Nothobranchius furzeri: one gene and its partner. The protein of the gene in region 1 interacts with the protein of each later gene in a biochemical or structural test. Links are inferred from orthologs where the notes say so. Each region holds a gene or a part of one and is shown in the gene's direction. Other genes may lie near its edges.

Region 1 (4,357 bases):
ATGTTTTTCGCCTTTGAGGAGATCGGAGGTGTTCCTCTCTTGGACCTTCTCTTCTGAGCTTGCTCCTGGAGGAAGATGTTGTATTCTTTTTTCCTCTCTTCTCGTAGTCTGCCCTGTGAGAGAGTCACACATGTAACTAAATTTTTAAAATGTGCATGTGCACACAAAACATGCACACACACCTTTATTGATGCTCTCTCGTTGATGGGTAAGGAAAGACCCTGGTGCTCCAGCACCTGGGGCTCACAATTTCTGAAATTATATATCTAGAAGAAGAACAGTGCGGATGATGAAATGGTAAAAAAAAAAAAAGATGGTGACTCTAAAGCTGTTTTAAGATTTCTTTACATTTTTGAGTACATCACCAGACCTTAGCAACACAATCTTTGTTGTCCAGTTGCAGCTCCTGTAGATGTTTCTGCTTGTTTTTTTCATAATCACTTCCCAGCCGCAAACTCATGTCCAAACCTGACAAATAAAATACTTTAAAACACTAAAACCCCACCCCCCAAAAAATGCTCTGCGTTACCTCTGTCTGGGTGCGATGCAGGCGCTGTTGATGCTGGACTCATACTAAAGTCTCATTTACTGAACATCATTATTCCTTGGTTGGAAAAGAAATCCACACAGCAAAATTACTGATTTGTTCATTACCTGAGGTGATTTGAAAGTATAGATGTTTACTCACCCAGCTGCTGCGTGGCATTTTAAGGTGACTTTTCTGTGTTTTGCTCCTTTAAGATCTTCCCATCTTACCATTGACCTACATAAGTATATCAGAAGTATAGAAGGTCCAAATTATTCTAAACTTGCAACCATGGAAGGAAAGACGCTAATATGTTTTATCCGCATCTAAAACCCAAACAAACGCTCATCCGGAAGCACTGCACAAAGTGCGTTGCTAGGGGCAACCATGACACAAAAGATAACCCCAGGAGGCTAACTAACGCTGCTAATACAAAATTGTAAACAAATGTGTCACGCATATAGTCTGAAATTAATTTAGAATTTATTATTTTACTTTTTTACACCCGTGAACACGTTTTATTTAAACCGCAAGTTTACTCACAGCTAAGCTAATAGTAAATATTTTTAGGAGCTGGTTTATATTTAATACATTTCCTGAAATATTTAACAGTAGTTCGGGTTATTTTAATTAATGAACTGACGCAGTTTCTAAAGAAGCGTGAAGAAAAAAAGGGTGTCAGAAACAAACCTGCACATACAAAATCCGCCGCTAGATGTCAGTGCGTCATTAAGTGACTCAACAATAGACCTAACTCTCTGTGGGTGAAACCATCTCTCAGAGGGGTGTTTACACTTACACAAACTGTAACTAAATACCTAAAATCCGCTTTGTTACATATTTAATTTCCACACATGATACAGTATCAATCTTGAAATTATGTACAATGTTTTAAAATGTTCAAGAAAGGATTCAGTTTAAATATTGCAACCAAAGGAAACGTCAAACCTGGGAATTGGTATTGTTCACTGTCATGGCTTCCTGAGCGAGCGGTTGTTGGGGCCTAAATCATCTACGCTGAAATATCGCTTTTCTTCGTTCATTTGACTGGGAATTTAAGGGCTTAAATACTGTTTTTTATTATTATAATTATTTTAGCCCGATTAAATCATGATGACCGGCAACAGCACGGCTCAGAAAACATGGGAGCTGTCTAACAGAATGCAGGAAGTCCAGAGCATCGATGAAATTTACAAATATGACAAAAAGCAACAACAAGAAATCCTCGCTGCGAAGCCATGGACAAAGGAGTGGGTTAAATACGGAAACGAATGATGAATTTTCAAACACTTAGTCTTCTGTTGTGATATTTAGGTGTACTTAAAGCAATAGTTCGTTTTTTAGTTATGCCTCTTGTTTGTTTATTAACTGTGCTTCTTCTAACTCCCTCAGTCACCACTACTTCAAATACTGCAAGATCTCAGCTCTGGCCCTGTTAAAGATGGTGATGCACGCCAGGTCTGGTGGAAACCTGGAGGTGATGGGTCTCATGCTGGGAAAGGTGGATGGAGAAACCATGATCATCATGGACAGCTTTGCTCTGCCAGTGGAGGGGACAGAGACCAGAGTCAACGCGCAGGCTGCAGCTTATGAATACATGGCTGCCTACATAGAAAATGCCAAACAGGTAAAATCAAAGCCTGCATGTTGCTTCCTGTGGCGATACACTTCATTTTACATGGGTATAGACATTTTAGAATATTTTTAATTGTGTTTTAACGATACAATGTTAGATTTACCTGTAGCTGTCTTTATGGATCCACATGCAATCAGACGAGAATAAGCAAAGAACACACATGCAGTGGTGCTCTCAGAAAGGTTTTAATGGGGGGCCAGTGAAAATTTTGGGGCAGCACACCCCATTAGTGGAGTTTATCCTGTTGCCATTGAATGCTCCTTCACCTAAAATCTGTTAGTTTCGTTGACAAAATAGTTTTAGGGTTGTTATTTTTGTGACAAATTAATTTTTGTGAACAAAAACTAAAATGTATTACTTCTATAAAGACTAAATTATGACTAACATTGATTGACGCATTACTTGATGAATAAGATGACAACAAAATTTGACTGTAACTAGGGCTGCAACAACAAATCGATAAAAATCGATGAAGAACTGCATTGGCAAGCATGGCCAAAAATGTATTTGGAATTCAGTAGTTTTATAAAACAGGTAACATAAAAACTCAAGCAGGTAACTTTCAGAATGTTCCTTTGGGGCGTTTTAAAGCATCTACCACACACACACAGACACACACACACACACATTCATAATAACCATGTGCCATTGTTATTTAGGGTGGTCGCTTTCTTTTATCTGACTAGAAATAAATTTACAGGAAGTTGTTAGTGACATTTAAAGAGCAAGTCACCCCTTACAAGAAGCGTACTTCACTCCCACTTCATGTTTGAAAAATGCAACAAATGCTGTTGCCTAGCAGACCGAGAGGGTGGAGCCACTAACAAATACACACACTCATGACATTGTGACATCATAATGTACCAGTTTACATCATAGCATACCTCTTAGCCAATAGCGGTGGCAGATTTAAATTCAAATGCAGTGCAGAGTTTTTACCTGACAACGGCACAACACTGACAGTTTCAGGCAGAAAATTTAAATTTTTACTAAAATGCACTAAAGTGCAAAACTATTGACTACACGTGTCTACAACACGATTAGACAAGCATTTATATAGTTTATCAGGAAAAAATAATTGATTTGGGGGTGACTTGCTCTTTAACCTTTATTCTTTTTTATTTAAAAAGAATAACAACAATTAATTATTTATAATGACATTTTTATCATAACTCGACTAATTCCCAGGAATCTATCGAAGGCAACAGGCGTGTGTAAATTAAAAATGTTTTTCTAATAAACAAGTTGGCTCCTTTGTTTAATTAGCAATGGACCGATATGAAATTTTTGGGCCGATACCGATAATAATAATATCACTGTTATGGCCGATAACCAAACGTCGATACCGATATACTGAAATTAATGCTTCTGAAATCAGCAGAATTTGTATAGTCTGAAAATTATTAAAGCTGAATTTATGTTATTATGTACACACAACACACACATTTATGCTTCTGAGATGATTACAACCACTGTCACATGACTAAACAAACACACATCATCCCCCTCACCCTCTGAAACAGATAAACAAGTGGAAACAAGATGGAAAAAATATCAGTTGTTAATATTGGCCTGGTTTTATTTATCGGACGATAACGATATGTTAAAAAATGACTAACATCGGCTGATATTGATGCCAATATGTTGTGCATCCCTAATGTCAACAATTAGATTTAAAACAATATTACTGCTTATTTCTATTTGTATTTGGCAGAATGTTAATTATGAGTGTGAGTGCAATTGTACAGAAGCTCTACGATGCACATTACAAATGCATTGTGTTGGAGTTGGAGCTGGGTGCTGAATTGCTCTGTGTTTTTGCCGTGGTGAATTTCATGCTGGAGTAATAAAACAAAACGTGTGCATCAACTGTTTCTACTACTCCACTAGGGTGTGATAAATGATTTATTTTTCCCTTTTTCCATCGTTTTGAACCGTTTTTTAGGATAAATCTGTTGTTTCTCTAGAAATAATCTTCAGTTTGAAACAGTTTGGAGTATTATATTAACTAGTAGGGAAGCAGTCCTTTTATAAAAATGTTTGTGTCGTATTAAATCTGTACCATCGGTCTCATCTGGTAGGTTGGTCGGTTGGAGAACGCCATTGGCTGGTACCACAGTCACCCCGGCTACGGATGCTGGCTCTCCGGCATAGACGTCAGCACTCAGATGCTCAACCAGCAGTTTCAGGAACCT
Region 2 (3,611 bases), on another chromosome or scaffold:
ATATGACTTTCTGGATGTGGTCAATATGAAAAACTGGAATTTTGAGTCGTAGTTTGATCTGCAGCCAAAGTATTTAATAATTTTTAGTGACATTCTCCATCTTTCACTTGTACTGTTTTTATTAAATAACTCAGAATGAGTCATCCCCTACCAGATTCTTACTCCACTCCCACTTCCTGTTTGAAAAATGCAACAAATGCTGTAGCCTAGCAGACCGAGAGGGCGGAGCCGCTAACAAATACACACACAGGCTCACAACTACATTGTGATAATGCTGCACTATAGAAAATGGGTTGAAATATAACATGTTGGTGGAGCTGGGTTCCGACTATCGGCTTGTGGAGCTCTAGGGAGACCGATGTTTTCCACCCGTTTTTCCCCTCCCCGCAGCTCTGCGCATCTCTGTCTAATCGCGGCTTCTGTCTGCTGCGTGGGCTGCTGGCTTCCAGCAGCTTTCGGGAGACCTCTGTGTTCCACCCGGTTTTACCCAGCGGTCAGCCCGGCGTATCTCTGACTCAGAAGCTCTGGTGTTGTGCACAATTAACTCCGGTTGTAGCTAGGTTGCTACCTCCGTTAGCTTAGCTCCCACCTCTGCGTTAGCTTTGGGTTAGCTTGTAGCTAGTTCGACCGGGTGTCGTCAGTTGATCCCAGCCTTACAGCCACACCCTCAGCTCCACCTCTCTTCCCTTTTGTAGAATTGTCTGGGCTTGAAGGAACCTGTGACACGGTCAAAATGGCGGTGGTGGCCACCTCCCATTTTTGCACAAAAACGTGTTATTGGAGCCTATGGAAATGAATTGTCCAGTATATATGTAGATGGTCAGAACATATTTGCTTTTGTAAATGTGTAAAGAAGGGATTTACCAATCTGGTGCCCACAGGCCTTTTCTCCAAACCTGCTGCCATCTTTTAAAATCGCAAATGCATTATTATAGATTTAAAACCTACATGTTTCTTTACAAATATTTAAATATGTTTATAGTAAATACATTTTAGTTTAACTCTGATCTATTCTAGTTCAAAGGTTATATATTTGTATATTATTATGTACTTTTTTAATCAATACAAAGAAAAAGGTACTTCAAAAACAAAAAAACCGACAAAAAAGTTAAAAACAAACTTTGATAAATTGCAATTAAAAAAGTTCTTAACAACAAAAGTGCAAACTTCCCTTAAAATGTTTATGTTTCTATTAAAGACCAGCTTTCTGATCCAATCAATGATTTAGATTTGGATTTGGGTTAGGGTTAGGCTTAGGATTTCTTTTTAATCCAAAATTCACAAATTTTCACTATTGTATCAAACTTGGTTAACGCTCAGTCACAACCCTGAAAGTAGCTCTCAGCTTCAGGTTGGTGACCTAATGTGGCCTAAAAATTTGTTGCCATGTGTCCTCCAGGATGAGAGGTGGCGCTGTGGTCAATTAGTTTTTCATTTTTAAGGAGGAGGAAGAGGTCATTCTCGTGGCTTCTTTACGATCTGGAAAGAGACGAAGAACGTCTGCAGCTTGAGCTGGAGAGAAGAAATAAAAAGCAATCATGCCGATGTTTGTGGTGAACACCAACGTGGCTAAAAGCAACGTGCCTGCGGCTCTGCTGTCCGAGGCTACGGAGGAGTTAGCTAAAGCGATGGGTAAACCTGCTCAGGTAGGTCAGGAAGATGTTCCTTCAGACCATTATAACCCTGCAGATCATTTACCATGATGCATTTGATTATATATGGAACGATATATATACTAAATCACATCAGTACCATACTAAATAATATCCATTATGAAAGAATGTTTGTCAAAATGCTAATATAACATTAGAGATTACCTGCAGGGACGGAAGCGGCTCATCAGTTTGGATCAGTTTGCATAGTTGAAAATAATTACATGAATTAATCTGGATTATATATCACTGGTCCAAATTTCCCAGATGCAAGATGGATAAAGTGAATTACAAAGAATAAATAAAATTACTTCAGAGTGGGATGAGCATTAAAAAAACACCTAAACTCAAAAGGATAAAGAACATAATAACATAAAATAGTTTTAAAGTAAACGAAAATAAACACTAATAGAAAAGAAAATCCCTCCTTTTTTTGAGGCAATGTTTTTGCCACATCCACAACAGGAGAAAAATAAAGACTAAGATTAAAATAAACACCAAAACAACTCAACACAGAAATACTTAAAGGTTCAAAAATCTAAATATTAATTATAAAGAAATCTTAAGAAAAAAAATAAAATTCTGAGGGAAACGATAGCAAAGTACAGTATAACATTTTTAAAGCAAGATTTTGAATGACAGACTTCAACAAAGCTAAATCTACAGAAAAGTGAATGTTACAAATAGCGCTGTTGTAAATCTTTCAATATAAAAGACTAAATTCCATCAATATGGAAAAAAATTGTACAGACAAATATTTTTGGAGACTTATTAGTAAAGGTACAATGGAAAAATATTTGTCTTTGCTTCAAGAACTGTTGACTTGTTCACTCACTTAGGTTTGACACTTAATATTGCTTTTTTCCCTTCATCTTTCTTCAGTACATTGCTGTGAATATTAACCCTGACCAAATGATGATGTTTGGTGGAAAGGGAGACCCCTGCGCTCTGTGCTCCCTCCACAGCATCGGCAAGATCAGTGGCGCCCAGAACAAGCAGTACTCAAAACTACTGTGTGGGTTGCTCAACAAACACCTGGGAGTCTCCGCTGACAGGTAACAGTAGCCCATCAGCATGCTGATCCTCTTTGTAGGACTTGATCAAACACACAACCTCTATTCATTGCTCATTAACCTCTTTCTTCTGGTGTCTGTTTTAGAATTTATATCAATTTTGTGGACATGGATGCAGCCAATGTGGCCTGGAACAACACCACTTTTGGCTAGGATGGAGGTCAAGACTGAAATAAAAGATCATTCCAGTGTTTTCCTACTTGTATTAGGGTAAATAAAGCAAAGAGCTGAGACACTTTGTTATCCAGGTAATACTGTAGGGGTACCTTAAATGCACTTGATTGGACCCCCTTGCTATGTACTGACCCTTTTGCAATTAAACGAATAAAGAAAATCACGTGAAACAATTAATGAATATCTTCTGTTTGGGTCAGTAAGCCCTCCTATTCAGAAACTTTATCATATTTAAAGGACCTGCATGCAGCTATTTCACACCTTACAGAGCAATAGTAGGCACACTATATGATAAATATTACCATTGGCATTATTGAGATGTCATTTTTGTGAAATGGAAGTTATTTTCACAACCCACTCTTTCAAACATTCAACAATGGATTTTGCATGATATAGGACCTTTAAAAGGGACTTTACGGAGTTTTGAATGTTTATGCTCGCGATTGCCCCCTCAGGCCAAAAGCGTGACGGCAGCTTCAATAGTAGGCTCATGCACGAGGTGCGCATGCTGTACGTGCACACTCCTTAACGAAAATAACAGCTGAGACAGTCCCGTGTGTGTGTGTGTGTGGCCCGGATGACAGAGGACAGGAGAACGCGTAGCCAATTAATTAAATAATTTGGTTCTGTACCTTTCTCTTCAGCACAGCCGACAAAGGTTTAAGATGGGTCAGTCCTCCTGCATGCTCAGATCATGCCCTTCCCTTGAAAA

What was found. The genes of interacting proteins can lie anywhere in the genome.
Region 2: the proteins of cops5 (region 1) and mif form a complex in vitro, tested with the Homo sapiens proteins (2 studies listed by BioGRID). The link is inferred for Nothobranchius furzeri from reciprocal best matches to the Homo sapiens genes COPS5 and MIF.

The regions. Positions count from the first base shown.
Region 1 is NC_091747.1:51,742,098-51,746,454, reverse strand, and holds the start of cops5 (COP9 signalosome complex subunit 5), read left to right. Parts: upstream 1-1,477; 5' UTR 1,478-1,636; coding exon 1,637-1,776; intron 1,777-1,918; coding exon 1,919-2,153; intron 2,154-4,243; coding exon 4,244-4,357. Other genes in the region: centrosome and spindle pole-associated protein 1, read right to left, coding at 12-113, 183-266, 371-468, 530-572. UniProt on the Homo sapiens protein: Probable protease subunit of the COP9 signalosome complex (CSN), a complex involved in various cellular and developmental processes.
Region 2 is NC_091741.1:91,262,110-91,265,720, reverse strand, and holds mif (macrophage migration inhibitory factor), read left to right. Parts: upstream 1-1,428; 5' UTR 1,429-1,538; coding exon 1,539-1,646; intron 1,647-2,534; coding exon 2,535-2,707; intron 2,708-2,811; coding exon 2,812-2,878; 3' UTR 2,879-3,076; downstream 3,077-3,611.